Caenorhabditis elegans: one gene and its partner. The protein of the gene in region 1 purifies or fractionates together with the protein of each later gene. This does not show direct contact. Each region holds a gene or a part of one and is shown on either strand. Other genes may lie near its edges.

Region 1 (7,233 bases):
CCAACCAGGATTGCGGTGGCCAAGATCTGCGCAAATCTAACACGAAGCAGCAGTGGATCACGGAACGTTGTTCTCAGTGATCGCTTGAGCAGGATCTCAAACTGGGTGCCGAAGGTGGAGTTGTAGCGGCTGAAATTTTAAGCTTAAGAACTTTAAAAACGAGTAAGGAAGAACAAACCTCTCCCCATCATCTTCATCGTCACCATATCCTCCAAATTCGTCCACGGCTGTTCTTGTCTTCTTGAGCATCTGGGTACCGATGTCACTGTTCTGATATTCGTGGATCAGGTACTGAAAAGTTTTCATTTCGTTAATGCTGTAAGCCTAAGTTTCAGCCTGAGCCTAAGCCTAAGACAAAGCCCAAGCCTACGTTTAAGCCTAAGCCTAAGCCTAAGCCTGACCCCGAACCTGACCGTGACCCTGAGCCGGAGCCTGAGCCTAATTCTAAGCCGAAGCCTAAGCCTAAGCCGAAGCCTAATCCTAAGCCTAATTGTTACCTCAATTCTCGTGACATCCTCCTGCTCGGTCTCCGGACTGATCGAAATCTCCGACATCACAAAATCCGCGGGATTATAGCTTTCGGGGACACGGAAATCTGGCCCAAGCTTATCGAAAAACGGACACAGTCGATCTACGGCGCCATGGTAGACCGTCTTCCCGGTGGCCATGAAGCAAACTTTGTGGAACATGCGGAACACGGTACTCGACGGTTGATGGAGCACGACGATGATCGTTTTTCCCTTGTTAGCCAGGTCGAGCAGGGCGCGCACAACTTCGGAGGCCATGAAGGCGTCGAGTCCAGAGGTGGGCTCGTCGCAGAACAGGATCTTCGGGTCGGTGAGGATCTGTATGTTGAAAGTTGTAGGTGGACTTTGGATCACTGCAAACCTCGCAAGCAAACGCCAGACGCTTCTTCTCTCCGATGGAAATCCCTTTCATACGGTTCGGAATGCCAATCAAGGTATTCTGACAATCAGTCAGGTTCATATCCCTCAGCACATTCTCCACTCTCTCCATCTTCTGCTGCACTGTCGCGTTCTTCATTCTCATGTGAGCCTGAACATTATATTCAGGACTAGTTAACAGCTTCTTCTAGCTTCTAACCAACCGTATAAGTCAGCTGCTCCCGGACCGTCAAGGTTCCACAGAACAGGTCAACCTGCTGAACGTAGGCGCACATTTGCCGCATTTTCTGCTTGGTGATCTTCTTGCCATTGACAGTGACGTCGCCGAGGTACTGAAAAATCGAGAAAATGATAGGTAGCTCGGGGAGCTGGGCTCACCTCAACTCCGTTAGTATCCAAATGGGCCAGGATATTCATCAGAGTCGTCTTACCGGCACCACTCCCTCCCATCAAGGCGAGAACTTCGCCGGGCTCCGCGACACCGCTAACTGAAATTTGATAAGATGAGGTGGGGAGAGCGCAGACAGCGAGACACTCTGGCTTGTCTGCGTCTACACAAAAGAGTACAGAGTATCCTGAGACATCGTAGCATGTGGAGAGAGCGCAGACAGCTAGACACTCTAGCTTCTCTGCGTTTACTTGTCGCCACGTGTCCAAGCCACGACATTTCGAGAAAGTTCTTGCTTCGAGAAACAGTGCAGCATGTTGAGAGAGCGAAGACATCTAGACACTCTTACCATTCCTGATCACCTCCTTCCTGCCACCACCGGCTTGCGGAACCGTCGCCACCAGCCCACTCCAGGCAATAGTCTTCCTTCCCTTCTCGCTACCATCGCCAGTGTCTACAGTAATCTAAATACAAAACGTAGTTTGGGTTACTGTACCTGCTAGCTTACCATCGTACTCTTACTCGTCGCATCTCGCATCGAAGCCGTCGTCAAACTTTGCATTATTTCACAGAAATCAAATACAAATATTCGAGAAGAATTTTTGAAATTCTTACAAATCGGAAATAAATTTTTGAATGAGTTGGATAGGGGAGGGAAGTGAAATGACGTGGATTTTATTTTTTTTTCAACTTTGAAATTTTGTGAATATTGTGATACAATTCACGTGAAGAATGAAGATATTTTTATTTGTATTTTAATTTGCAAAATTGTTTGCAAATTAAATTTTCACGGTTTTCAAAAAACTCCGTATCACAGCTACCATTCTTTGAGTCGTTACTCTGCGAAAAAAAAAAATCAAAATTGAGCTAAAGAGCTGCAAATGTAGTGAAATGTTTTAATCGAATTTTGTGAAAATTTCAAACTTTTAGAAATCCAAATGCTGGCTTTTGGGTAGCTTTAAAATTTCAAATATTGAAAAGTAGTCTTCAAAATAGGCCTGAAAATTTGAAGTCAGCTATTTACCAAATAAATTACCACAATTCTTCAAAAAAAAAAATGTATCAGACCGCATTTCTAGATCGCTACTTTGTGAATTTAGCAATTAATAGATTGATTTTTTTCTGAAGTAAAAATCTTCAAAAATTCTTTAAAAATTCATAAATTTTTGGTTTTTTTTAAACATTTTTTTCCCCCTGAATTCGCAAAAAAAAACTGGAATTTTCCATACGAAAAATAGCTTGAACATTGTTCCTTAAATTACTTTTTCACCCAAAAAATTCTAGGCCGACAAAAATTTGCGCTGGTATTTGAAATAATTTAAATAAAATAAAAATTTGAAAAAAAAATTATACAAATTTGAAAATTGAATAAATAATTTAAGTAACTTTTCAATAATTTTTTTATTCCGTTTTCAAATTTTCCCGGTTTTCTTTTTGATACCTCTACAAGTATAAACTTCTCCGTAACTACCTCTACACCCACTACTCCTCCTTTAAGACCCCTTCCGCTAAAAAACTTGGTACATCTGAACGTTAGCGGTATGCTTTCTTCAAGTATACCATTCGGCCTTTCCGCTCAAAAATCTTGCTCGAGACCCCCTTCCAGTTGAGGCCATCTTCACACTAAAACATAGCCTCCTTTCTCTAAGGGGGGGGGGGAGAGTTGTAAATCAAAACAATAACGGACGTTGACTTACAGAAGTGGGGGTATCGATCTGAAACAGTGCTCGACACACGTAGAACGCTACAGGACATGTGGATATATCTAGTCGATTAGAAGGAGGTGGTTACATTATTGTAGGCTCTTTTTTTTTGGTTTTGGTGTTTTTTAGTTAGCTACTATATTGTTTTAAAATATAAAAATGTTCAAAATTGCCCCTAGGTATTAAAATAACTAAAAAAAAAAAGAGTGAAACTTTTGGCAAAACCCCCAAAACCATCAGAAATGAATATTTTCGAGGGTTCTTATTTTCATTTTTGGCATTTTTCAACATGTCATTAAATAAAAAAATTTATCGCCATTTAAAGTAAATTTCAAAATTGAAAATTTATTTCGATAAATCATTTAAATTTTTGATTAACATTTTCAAAGTTCTGATCATTTTTTGAAGTTAATACAATTTTTTAATCAACAGAAATATAATAACTTAATATTTTTATTTAATATTTAACTTAATAATTTTTATAAATTGCTTCTTCCTCCTCAATAATCAATTTTCAAATAAATTTCATCAATTTTCCGATAATCATGCAGCAAATAATTTTCAAAAGTGCCGAGTTTTTGAGAATGAAGGCCAAACATCACGCGGAGATTCAGGCACTTTATGTGAGTTTTTTAAAAAGAAAATTTTGAATTACATTGCTTTAAACTTAGGAAAAAACCTTATTGTGTTTTACAACAAAAAATTTACAGCTAAATTTTTTCTTTGGAAATTTTTTCTGAAATATTTGCGCTGAAAAAAACCCATTTTTCAAAATTTCTTTAAACTTTTCAAAAAAATTCTCGCATTTTTTAGGCCTAAACTTTCACAAAACTGTAATTTTTTCAGGAACTGTGCGGTAAAATGAAGGAAAGAGGAGCTCTAGGAAAGCTGAAGAGAACGATCAACGAAAAAGTGATAGATTGGAATCGGAATGGATTGAGGGTCAAAGACTACTATGATCTACACGGAATGACAACCAATGGGGCTGTACGTTTTGTGTTAGGCATAGTTGAGAATATGCAATTTTATGGAAGTGAGTTTGCAATTTTTGTTTAAAAAAATCAGCTAAAATCTAGGAAATTTACCAAAAAAAAAACGCCAAATTTGAAACGTTTGAAATATTCAAAAACCTTTCTCTTTTCTCTTTTGAAAATGCTGAAAAATTCAAACAATTCTAGTTCAAAAATGTTTTCATTTTAATTTTCATGAATTTTTATATTAAGATTCCTAATCCCCACGCTTTTTTGTTTTTATTCCGATATTTGCAGCTCTTTAGCTCAATTTTTGGAAATTGGCAGAGTAGCGACTCAGATCACGGGGCTGTGATACGGAGTCTTTTAAAAGTTGTAGGAACTGAGCTAGAGCGCTGACATATTTTGAGTAAATACGTTAAAATGTGTAGATTTCAACTACTTTTTCAAATCCAAATTATTTTCAGAAATCAAGCTGGAAACCGGAAGAGGAAATCACTCGAAGGACAACATTCCGGTGATCAAGAACAAGTTGCTGAGGACATTCAATTGCCGGTCAAGATGTAAAATTTTCGAAGACAAGTTGAATCCAGGAGTCCTAATTTTGAGTCTTTGGTGATTTTTTTATAATTTCAACTGAGCACACTGCGTTGGAGTCCCCGAGGAGAAGCCAAGACCCCAGAAAATTGTGGAGCCATTTTGGACTTGGAGCCATACTTGGAGCCGGGGTAGCGCAACTTCAAACGGATTTTTTTCTAATTTTAAAGCAATTTTGTTATTAACTATGTATTTGTTTATTTAATAATCTATTTTTTGTATTAATAAATTAATTTTAAGATTCAAAACTTCTCGCTTCTATCAAACTAACTATTTTAAAACTCTTTTATCTCCGCAGATACAAATTTTTTTCAAAAAAAAAGTCAACTGAGAAAATGTGCCAAATTTTCAGCTTAACATTTTACTAGTTATCTATTTTTCAAAACCTCATACCAGTGAAATGTTATGTAAGTTTTCCCATCTCTAATTGAAGTTCGAAATATTAAATTCTTATGAAGCGGCCTGGTAAACAAAATTCTGAGTCACATTTTCGACATTTTTCAGAAAAAAAAGCTCCCCTTGTTTCCTGATCAATTTTCCTTGCCAATCGTCCTTTACCAGGCGGTACATTTATTTGCATTTCCCCCTACAACACTTTTTAATGGGATTCGGCAGGGTGCTTTGTTTTTGGCATTTTTTTTCATAGTAGGCAGGCGCGCTTTCAGGCACTAGCATTTACCTGCCTCATCGCCTAAGTTCTGCATTCTGGCTTTTAATGGTGTTTCGGCCACGCAGCGACCGGCAGTTTTCGGCACTGTACTATGCAGAAGGCGCGGTGAGGCAGACGAAGGCAGGCGCGGCAGACATTTCTGCGCCTTCATGGAAGTCCTAGTTCAGGGTCTTAGGAATTGCCTACTTGAGTTGTTGCCGATTTGCCGATTTGCCATAGGTTTCCCTCTCCAAAATGACATCATTCTATACTTGCCGGAGAGCTAAGGAAACTAGGGGCAATGTTACTTTCACACGTTGCCGCCATACAACCCCCCCCCCCTTCCATCTCTACTTCTCTATCACTCTATCAGTGACCCCCTCACATCCCATTGTCACCCATCTGTACGGTGGTGGGGCCCCGCGCGCACCCCAGAATATTCGTCCGGCGAGCCGCCGGCCACCTCCACTGGATCAATACTCTCTCGTGTGGTGAGCGTGTTGCCTGCTCCTCGTTATCGTTTTATGGGACTGTGAGGCCTGTTTTTCTTTTATTATTTGCCGTCCTCAGAAAGTTACTTTTTCTGAACACATTCCTTATGTTACAGGTGCCTAAATTGCCAAAGGTTGCTGCATGAAAATGCCGATTTCCAATGGTCTTCGTCGCTTCTTTTCACAGGTATTTTTAGAAACTTACAGATGCCTCCCATGCCTGCCTGCCTACATGCATGCCTACGCGCCTCTTCATGTCCTGCCTATTGCCTACCTAACACTTGCTTATCTTCCTGATGTCATGCATACCTTCTTCCTCATGCCTACCTGCTTAACGCATCTCTAATGAGCCGATCATGCCGATCATCTGCACGCCTACATTTCTGCCTATTACCTTCCTTTTTCTCACGCCTACCTGCTCACCGCATCTCTAATAACTGCGTGCCTGCCTATCGCCTGCCTTCAGTTATGCCTACTAATTTCCTCATGTCTACCTGCACCGCTTTTCGTAAGGCGTACAGGCCGAGATACCGCTTATATGCCTGTAACCCCCCTCCCCACCGCTTTCATATGCCTTCTCACCAACATTTCTGCCTATCACCTTCCTCATGCATGCCTACCTACCGCCTAATTACCTAATTTTCAGATGCGTCGTTTCTTCCGTCGCCGCCGAGTTTCTCATGCCTCCCCGATCATTAACCATATGGGTCATGGGGAAATTCCGGTAATCTGATTTTGTGTTCTTTTAAATTCAAATCCTAAAATTCCAGCCAGCCGGGACCACCTACCGGAGTCATCGCCATGCTGATTACGAGGAGCTCTCCGAACTCTCGGAGCACGACGTGTATCTGGACGATAGTGATATTTACGCAGAGAGCCTTACGGAGGTATTTTATAAGTTAACATTTTGAGTTTTATATAACTTTTTCAATTTTAGGATGTTATCATCTACCAGCCAGAAGATGTTTTCTTTCGTCGCCCGAAAATCGAGGTAATTTAAGTTTGAAAAGCAAAAAAACAAACAAACATTTTCAGCTGGTTGTCGGCCATACGATCATTCCATTCGGCGCCGGTATCAACTACAATAGTTGGACAGTAAGTTTATATTTTACTGCCTCGGTGCTTGCCTACAAACATGTGGGCTTACCTGATTGCCTGCCTACGAGCCTGCCTGCATATGTGCCTACACACCACCTGCCAATCTGTTTGCCTTCTGATGTTTCTGCCTACCATTACGCCTGCCTGTATGCCTACTTGCCTACATACCTACCTTCCTGCCTACGATCCTACTTAGCGGTTGCCTGCCGACTGCCTGCCTGCTTTGTTAGCTAGTAACCGCCTGCTGCATGCCTGCTCTTTCTTATTCCTTTCTGTCTACTTTCCTGCCTGCGTGCCTATCTTCCTACCTACCTATCGCTTACATACTGCCTACCTACCCACCTGCCAGCCTAGACTCCTAACTTATCTCATACCTTTCAGAACAGTGACATCCTTCGCTGGCTCTGGAGCTTCTACCCGAATGAGCAGAT
Region 2 (7,981 bases), on another chromosome or scaffold:
GAAGGTTGACTTTTCAATTCACAATTCACAATCCTTTCATTCTTCATCTCTGGACTGTTAAATGTTCCGTAACCTTCAAGTTGGCGTTGAGTGATTGTTTCGATTTCAGAAATTTCCATGTCATAGTCTTCGTTTTTCTTCCTGTTGTCGTTATGAATTGAATTCTGAGAAGATTCTAGCTCCAAATGACTGATTAGCTCTTCAGCTTCCTTGTGCTCAATAGTTGAGTTGCATGAAAACGCCCAAACATTGAGATCGCATTCTTCTTCATCTTCTGCACTTTGTCGTTTTGTGTTAGTTTTGTCCTCCTGGATGTTGCCAATATCATCATCGTCATCGATTACTACAACTTCTATTGAATTCGAAACGTTTTGTGCTTTACCACGAGTGATTATGACGTCGCGTTCCTCTTTAGCGGGACAACGAGTTTTTGGCTTTTTCCTCAAAGTCTCGTAAAGATCTTCGATCTTAGGTAGAGTTCTTTTTTCTGCGGCTTTTCGGATTTTTGGATCTGAAAATATGTGTTGTTCGGCATTAAAGTCAGTCAACTACTCACTTTTAACCATATCCCGAAAAAAATTCGCGCAAGCTACAAGGAGGAGATGTTTATGTGGGAAGCATCCCCAACAGAGGAAACCTGATGGCGATTTGTAGATGAAGTGTTCTTGAATGTGCATAAAAATTCCCATGTTGTTTTTGCAAATGCAACTTAACGTGTTTGTTGACATTGATTCCACTTCCCAATAATACTGATCCCACTTTTTGAAATGCTTTTTTCCAATACATGGCAATATAATTTGCGGAAAATGATACAGCAGTACAATCGCCCTTTCAGAGTCCTGTAAATTCATAAAACATGAGTGTGTGGGTTATTTGCTTTGACTACAATTGGCTCTAAACGACCGAAATTAAGCTATAGTCTAAATTTTTTTTAAAGCTTTTCATTCTGTCCGAAATTTAATCTTCAAAAAAATAATAAACCTAGTCATTACAGGATTTTTCCTTGTTATGTACGACAATCGAAACATCAGTATTTTATTACTCACAAATGATGCGTAGTCCTCTTCTTCAACAAGCAATGGTTCAATTGTAGCTTTGGAAAGTGGATAATCACGTTCAGGAACTATATGCTTTTTGATGATAAATGGCTTAAAAGCTGCATCGACTCCGTAATAACAATCTTCGCGTGATTTTGTCCATGAGTATCTCGATAGTGCCAGTTTGTTGTTTCGACCAAAATGCTGAATGTTCTCAGCTCGGGAAATTCTCACATTTTTTATGTATTTATGAAAGTGTGTAAAAAGCTAGATCTAAATCAAAATTTTGTACTGGCGTTTAAATGTGATTCAGTATTCTGAGACTTACTTTAGGTTTTATTTACAGTGTGTTACATTTACTCCATTAAAAGAAATACTTACCGGGCGCCCCATATTCAACAACCTTAATAACGTTTTAATCCGAATAACGCCACTTATTGAAGGGGAAAACAGTTTCGTTGCATATCTGGAAACTATACACGTTTTTAAAATAACCCAATGATTACCGAAATAAAGTTGATGCTAAAACATGCGTCTCATCTCCCAACGTGAAAAGAGGGATTAAGTCCCAAAATGTTTCTTGTGGATGGTCAAAGTATACACCAAGTTTTGCAATTACAGATTTGAATTTCCTATCGTCTGCAAAATGGATTTAGCCGAGTTTTGAAACATTTTGTTTACCTGCAGATTGTATCATAGAAAAGAATTGGCGAGAAGTCATTGTACAAAATTCCGGAATCATTGTAAGATTGTAGAAGCATTCAGGGGTGTCGACTGGGAGCTCATTTTTGTTTAACTGAAAATTCTTCTACTTTCGAATATTCTAGATCTGGTATAAAAAGTAAGAGCCTAGTTGGATTTGTAATGATAGAAGAACTAACTTTTTTAGTGCCATAAACTTCCAGTTCAATCAAAAAAACTGACCTTCAGACAGAATGGCCCTTTTTTTTGGAGATTTGTTTGATTATCATAACTTTCAGAATTTAAATGCAAAATTTTTCTAAGTGCCAAAAGCTTCCAGTTCAATCATAAAAACTGACCTTCAGACATATAAATGACCTCTTTTTTTTTGGGAGATTTACAAAGTTTTCATGATTCTAAAAATCAATATCTGACTTGAAATGAACTTTTTTGGAAATGTTTCTTCGGGGACTTGTTTGAAATTTTTAGCGTTTTTCAGAATTTAAATGCAAATTTTTTCTAGGTGCCAAAAGCTTCCAGTTCAATCAAAAAAATTGACCTTTCAGGCATATAAATGACCCCTTTTTTTTGGGAGATTTACTAAGTATTCATGATTCTAAAAATCAATATCTTACTTGAAATGAACTTTTTTGGAAATGTTTCTTCGGGGACTTGTTTGAAATTTTTAGCGTTTTTCAGAATTTAAATGCAAATTTTTTCTAGGTGCCAAAAGCTTCCAGTTCAATCAAAAAAATTGACCTTTCAGGCATATAAATGACCCCTTTTTTATACTGAGATTTATTTAGTTTTCATAATTTTAAAATTAATATCTCCCCACTAACCATTCACCAATAACCCTTCATAAGCCAAAACTCCGCAGACTACAAAGACTACATAGACTACAAACTATGGACAGACGAACTGTATTTTTTATATATAAGTCTCCCTTTTTTTTGGAGATTTGTTTAATTATCATAACTTTTAAAATTAATATCTTACTTAAAATGAACTTTTTTGAAAAAAAAATGATTGTTGGTCGCTAAAAACAAAAAACTATTTTATTTTAATAAAATAAATACATTTGTTCTTCTAATGAAAAACCTATATTTCTTCATTTTTATTTTTAGAAAAGTTTCAAAAGTTTACGAAGGAGATGATTATTTCTGGGTATTTCTCAAAGAATTTGGTAAACATTTTTTCACAACAAGGGCGCTTGAGAATTGAAGATTTTGTTAATTGCTGTAACTTAACAATGTTTTACTTTTTTTTTTTTTGGCTATGTTAGTGCGATAATAATATAGCTTCAAAACGCCCGCAAAAACTTAACGTGCTGAATTTCTCATCAATGCAAAAACTCGTTGTTTACTCGTTGTCATTGTTAAATATTTAACTCATTCATGTCCGGAATTATAACATTTTTGAATTTTGCATGATTAATAATTTTTGATGCTTAAAGTTTGAATTTCAAAGAAATTATTCAGCAATCTTTAAGAATCACTTTTGCTAGTCACGTTCTATCCGTTTTTCTCTGTTATGCATTATGTATAGTCTTCTTTTGAACTAAATCTTCAATTTCGAGAATCTTTGTTGCTAATCCATCCTTTGAAAGGTTTCTCTTCAGCTATAATTACATCACCCTCTTCTTTCTATCATTATCTTTCACTTCATCTCCTACTCTCCTTTCGAAATATTTCTATACCAATTCTTAGGCTCCAGGCAACAAATACTCAGCAGTCGTTGGTTGAGAGAAAACTAACATGTGCATTATTTTTCAAAATGAAGTCTAGCATTATATGTTTTTAATGAAGCCGCAACGCTGCCTACAACCCTACTTTTTATTATCCAAAAAATTAAAAATTTATGTTAAGCAGTACTTTTCTCATGTTCTATACTGTGTACAAAAAATTCACCTGCACTGGATCCGACAAATAATCGATTCGGTCATGATACTCATCTTGGTCCAAAAAGTTTAATAATCTGCCCAGCTTTTCTATTTGTTCAGGAGACTTAAGCGTTTTTGCTTTATCCAGATACCACTTGCTTTGTATACACTCTATAAAATTAAAAATTGAAACGTTTTCAAACTCAAAGTTCAAAGTTTCAGAGTACTTTTTTTTCAAAGACAATTTAAAATATATCCACTTGTTCATCCATCTTTTTCATCTTTTGTATTTTTCTCTTTTTTTCCTTTTTTTTCAAGTAAACATGATTTTTTTTTGAATAATTTTCAATCACTGTATACGATGTTGAAGAACTAGGTTAGTTTCCAAAAAATACTACTGAGCTCAGCCGAGAGGATTCGTTAAATAATTAATGTACTGTGCGAATAGAATTTTAGAATCAAATCTTTAGAAAACAAATGTTCGAAATATAATAATTAGATTTGAATGAGATTTGGTTCAAATTTATTACATTTTTAAATCATGTTGGACAAAGAAAATTTGCCAAACCTAGCTAAATCTCGGGACACTAATAAATGTTTAAAATGATTCATTAAATACTATTCTAAAACTTTTTGGAAACCATCGAAAAATGATATTTACTTATATTTTTTAAGAGAAAAAAAACATTTCAGCAAAAGGGTTCAATTGTTTTACAAAGTAGTTTACTTTTTCTTTTTTGTAGGAATTAATAACGTACTGTCATAAAGAGTCAAACGATGATTTTCTTCGTTGTCTGAAGTTGAAGTTTCGAGGTCCTCCATTTTCGAAACTATAATTATTAAATTAATGTCAAATTTCAAATGACAGCAGAACAATTAAGTGGTACGTTGGTTACCGTTATAAGTAAACATAAAAAAATCACACGTATCTAGAAAAGGTTACACTGTTGCCCTTAGTTACCCGTGACGATGCCTTCACACTTTTATTTATCACACCCTCTTTTTTTTTTGCGTTTTTGGTCACTCTTGCTTTCGGTGCGAGCATCATTTATGACTTCACTCTCTTTTTTTCAGCATGTATCGCGAAATGCTTCATCAGGGAATTCAGTTATACTGCGAGATTTGGCCGTGCGATCGAGAATGTGGAAAGTTTCACGAAAGGTTCATAAACACAACAAGTAAGATCAAAATAATTTGCGAGTTTCTGAATTTAATAACAAAATTGAGAATTGAGAAGAATGAAAACAATGTCAGAATCAGTGGATCATCAAATACCAATGACAAATGGTGAGTGAGAAAAAACACAACGAAAAATTATTATTCTTTAAGGAAAATCGAAAACAAAAGGAGTTTTCGAGGAAATAATGGAGATGGCAGCAAGAAAGGTGAATATTTTTACATATTTCAAATTATTGAGAATCTTGAATTAGAAATGGTCATCAAATAAAATATTTTCTGTGTGAGACATATCAGAAAAATCCTGCATCAGGTCAACTTGAACTTGGCAATTAAACTGAAGCTTCTAGGTTTTTTAATAATAATTTTTTCAAACTGAATTGGAACGATAATTTTGATGAAATTAGAAAAATAAAGTAAAATTATATATACATATAAAAAAAATACATAGAAAATTTTTTTATTTTTCAAACACGCGTATTCAAAGAATTTCTCAAAATGATTTCCAGAAGTTTCAAAAAATTATGACTCGGATTTCTGTACTGACGTCGCACAATAAGATTCGTGTGACGTCACTTTTTAAAAAGATTAATAAATATATACACCGATGTTTTTTTTAAACGGTATCTTATTTGAAAACTGGGAGGTTAACTAATTCAGGGTCTGACAATTACACACAATATTTCAATTTTCCGCAAAATTTTGTTAGACGTTCCTCTGGCTAGGTTTTCCCCGTAATCAAAAAATTAACCATCAAAACAAATTATAATAATTCTACGATTTTGTCTAGCAAAGTTTTGATGCGCAAGTCGTAGAAACCGGTAAAGATCCCTATCTTCGCGCCTACAATCAATGTGCAACACTTCGAAAAACTTCCAGTTTCCCAGAAGATAAAAATTCGTTATTGGTTTGCAGTAAAGTATTTTGTGCCTGGATAGAAGCTACTTTGTTTGATCTTTCTGATTTTTCTCATTAATCAGTTACGTTACGTTAGTTTATGGTCGCTGGTTCTCAGACTTTCTGTCTCTACAAAACGCTGAAACAATATTTTTTGCCACTTTGCACATTTTTGTTGTTAGTATTTTTTGAATTTGATAAGAGGATTTCAAGCAAGTGCTCTTTCCAAGGATTTATAAAAGAGAGTGTGTAGAGAACAGAATAAGCAAAGAGGTTTACGCAATATAATGAAAAAGTATCGCGGCTTTCGTACTTAACTAATAGTCATTCATGATAGAATTTGTGCAAGGTATGTAAAAGATCGATAAGATAAAACGTGAGAAAAAACTCAAAAGTAACCTATGGACAGAAAACGTCAGGTTCTCCCTTTTTTGTTGCACAAATCACAAAATTCAAAAAAGTTGTTTTTTGTCCTTCATTGGATGAGTGAGCTACTGTATACATTAGAAACTTATTATCAAAAGGCAATAAAATTATGCAAGAGGTTATATTTGCACGGTTATAGAAAATTTCCTGTTAGCAACTCGGAGGGCAAAAAATAATATATACACACAATTTTTACGACTTACGAACACGAGGCCGGAATTTAAATACGTGTAGAAGATCTACAGCAACACAGCAGCTAATCTTACTCTCACTCGTAACTATCAGTAGAGCATTCTGCTGTCAATTGGGCTCCAACAGCGCCACAGTCAGAAGAGGGGAAGGGTAGAAGACCGGCGACCAGGGCAATGGCTGCGACGGCGGTCGCGCTCGGAGCCAAGACGAGAATATGAAGGAAGGAGCCTGTTGTGAGGTGTATGTGAAAGAAGGAAGGAGGCGGGCAACATCCTACCGGTGGTCGGTAGGAGTGATTGTATGACGTTGGAAAACCAAAATAAAGAAGAAGAAATGCCAAAGAGGGTTGTTCGATAATACTGGAAACTTGTGATATTGTGATAACGATGGAAGCTTTGATAAACAGTGGCTCGATCTAGCATGAGCAGCATGAGCAGAAGACAATGAAACCAATTCCTTATCGTTTTCAATAGAGGCAGAGAAGAAACCTTTGATGATATAGATGCACACATTCTTGCGTAGAGTTTCTACGGTATGATACTTCAATCTTCAAATGTTCGTACACCTCTGTACCAATTTAATACGTGTTTAGAATGAGAACGTTTCAAGGTAGGGCTGGAGAAATAAAGGAGTCTCACTGCTGTTCTCAAAAATCGCCCCTTCTTTTCGACATTGAAACATATTAATGCAACGAATATATATTCCCCATGTTATTTCTTATAATGTGGTTTCCGTTTCATAGTTTCCCATCTTTCCCCTTTTTCAATCTGTGTGCATGTTGAGGAGAACAACAGAAAGAGCGACACACGGAAATCAATGCGATGCAGCCATCCCTTTTTTGACCAGAGGAGTACGCGATGAGGGGAAACGGGACAGCGCGCCCGTGTTAAATTAGAAGTTGCGAGGAGCTATGAAGTTGACAACGCCAGCGCCATAGACCGAAACGTCTATAATTTCTGATTGGATAGCCAACGTGAAGAAGAGGGATAGTTGTCTTTCTCCGTTTTTCTCCTTGGGAATATCAATGTAAATCAGAAAGACGAGATTTGGAAAAGTGAATTGGGCGAAAAAAAAGAAAGAGAGAGAAAGATGACGAGCAAAAATATGAAATCGAAGGGAAAAGTGAATGCATACCGTTGTGATTGCTTTGGGCGCGAAAGAACAGAGAGTGCAATGCCATTACATAAAATACAAGCCTCTTTCATTTTAATGAAAAAAGATTGTCATGGCAATGTCAATTTGAATGAAGATAGACGATTCAAATTCAATCAAAATGCCAAAATTAAGGTTTGGGGATTTCACAAAATTTATATTTAATTCCATAATTCCAAAAATTGCACTAATTTTACTTCAATGAAAAAACAAGTAGCTTTTGTTTCCCACTGTTGTTCACTTCTCGAGCTGAAGAGTTTGTTTGTGTAGTTTGTAAGATATCGAAAAGTCTAACAAAACATGCCTGTACAACTTAACTGTTAAGAACTGCTTCACACATTACACTGCGTCCAAATACCATTTGCCATTTGCTAAGTGTGTAATGTTAAACGAAAAGAGTTAGTCTCAAAAAGGGCACACGACAAGTGGGGTGAAGAAGGTACTATGTGATAAGAAACCAATGAAGTATTTGCAAAATGAGTAATGTTAAGGGTGATGATGTGGCTAAAACATAATTAGGTGTTGTTCATAACCAAGG

The links. The genes of interacting proteins can lie anywhere in the genome.
Region 2: the proteins of F02E11.4 (region 1) and C05C9.3 fractionate together in Caenorhabditis elegans (co-fractionation; one large-scale study listed by BioGRID). This does not show direct contact.

The regions. Positions count from the first base shown.
Region 1 is NC_003280.10:3,273,609-3,280,841, reverse strand, and holds F02E11.4 (Smr domain-containing protein), read left to right. Parts: upstream 1-3,055; 5' UTR 3,056-3,541; coding exon 3,542-3,619; intron 3,620-3,842; coding exon 3,843-4,029; intron 4,030-4,434; coding exon 4,435-4,586; 3' UTR 4,587-4,801; downstream 4,802-7,233. Other genes in the region: wht-4 (ABC transporter domain-containing protein), read right to left, coding at 1-129, 179-291, 498-845, 889-1,056, 1,109-1,237, 1,284-1,393, 1,643-1,757, 1,802-1,855; F02E11.3 (ORF56), read left to right, coding at 5,847-5,891, 6,351-6,428, 6,475-6,591, 6,642-6,695, 6,740-6,799, 7,184-7,233.
Region 2 is NC_003284.9:11,148,391-11,156,371, forward strand, and holds the start of C05C9.3 (ULP_PROTEASE domain-containing protein), read right to left. Parts: upstream 4,431-7,981; 5' UTR 4,423-4,430; coding exon 4,359-4,422; intron 3,772-4,358; coding exon 3,629-3,771; intron 1,834-3,628; coding exon 1,719-1,833; intron 1,677-1,718; coding exon 1,544-1,676; intron 1,504-1,543; coding exon 1,419-1,503; intron 1,242-1,418; coding exon 1,047-1,241; intron 840-1,046; coding exon 557-839; intron 512-556; coding exon 1-511. Other genes in the region: C05C9.2 (uncharacterized protein), read left to right, coding at 4,676-4,778, 4,828-4,887, 4,930-4,985.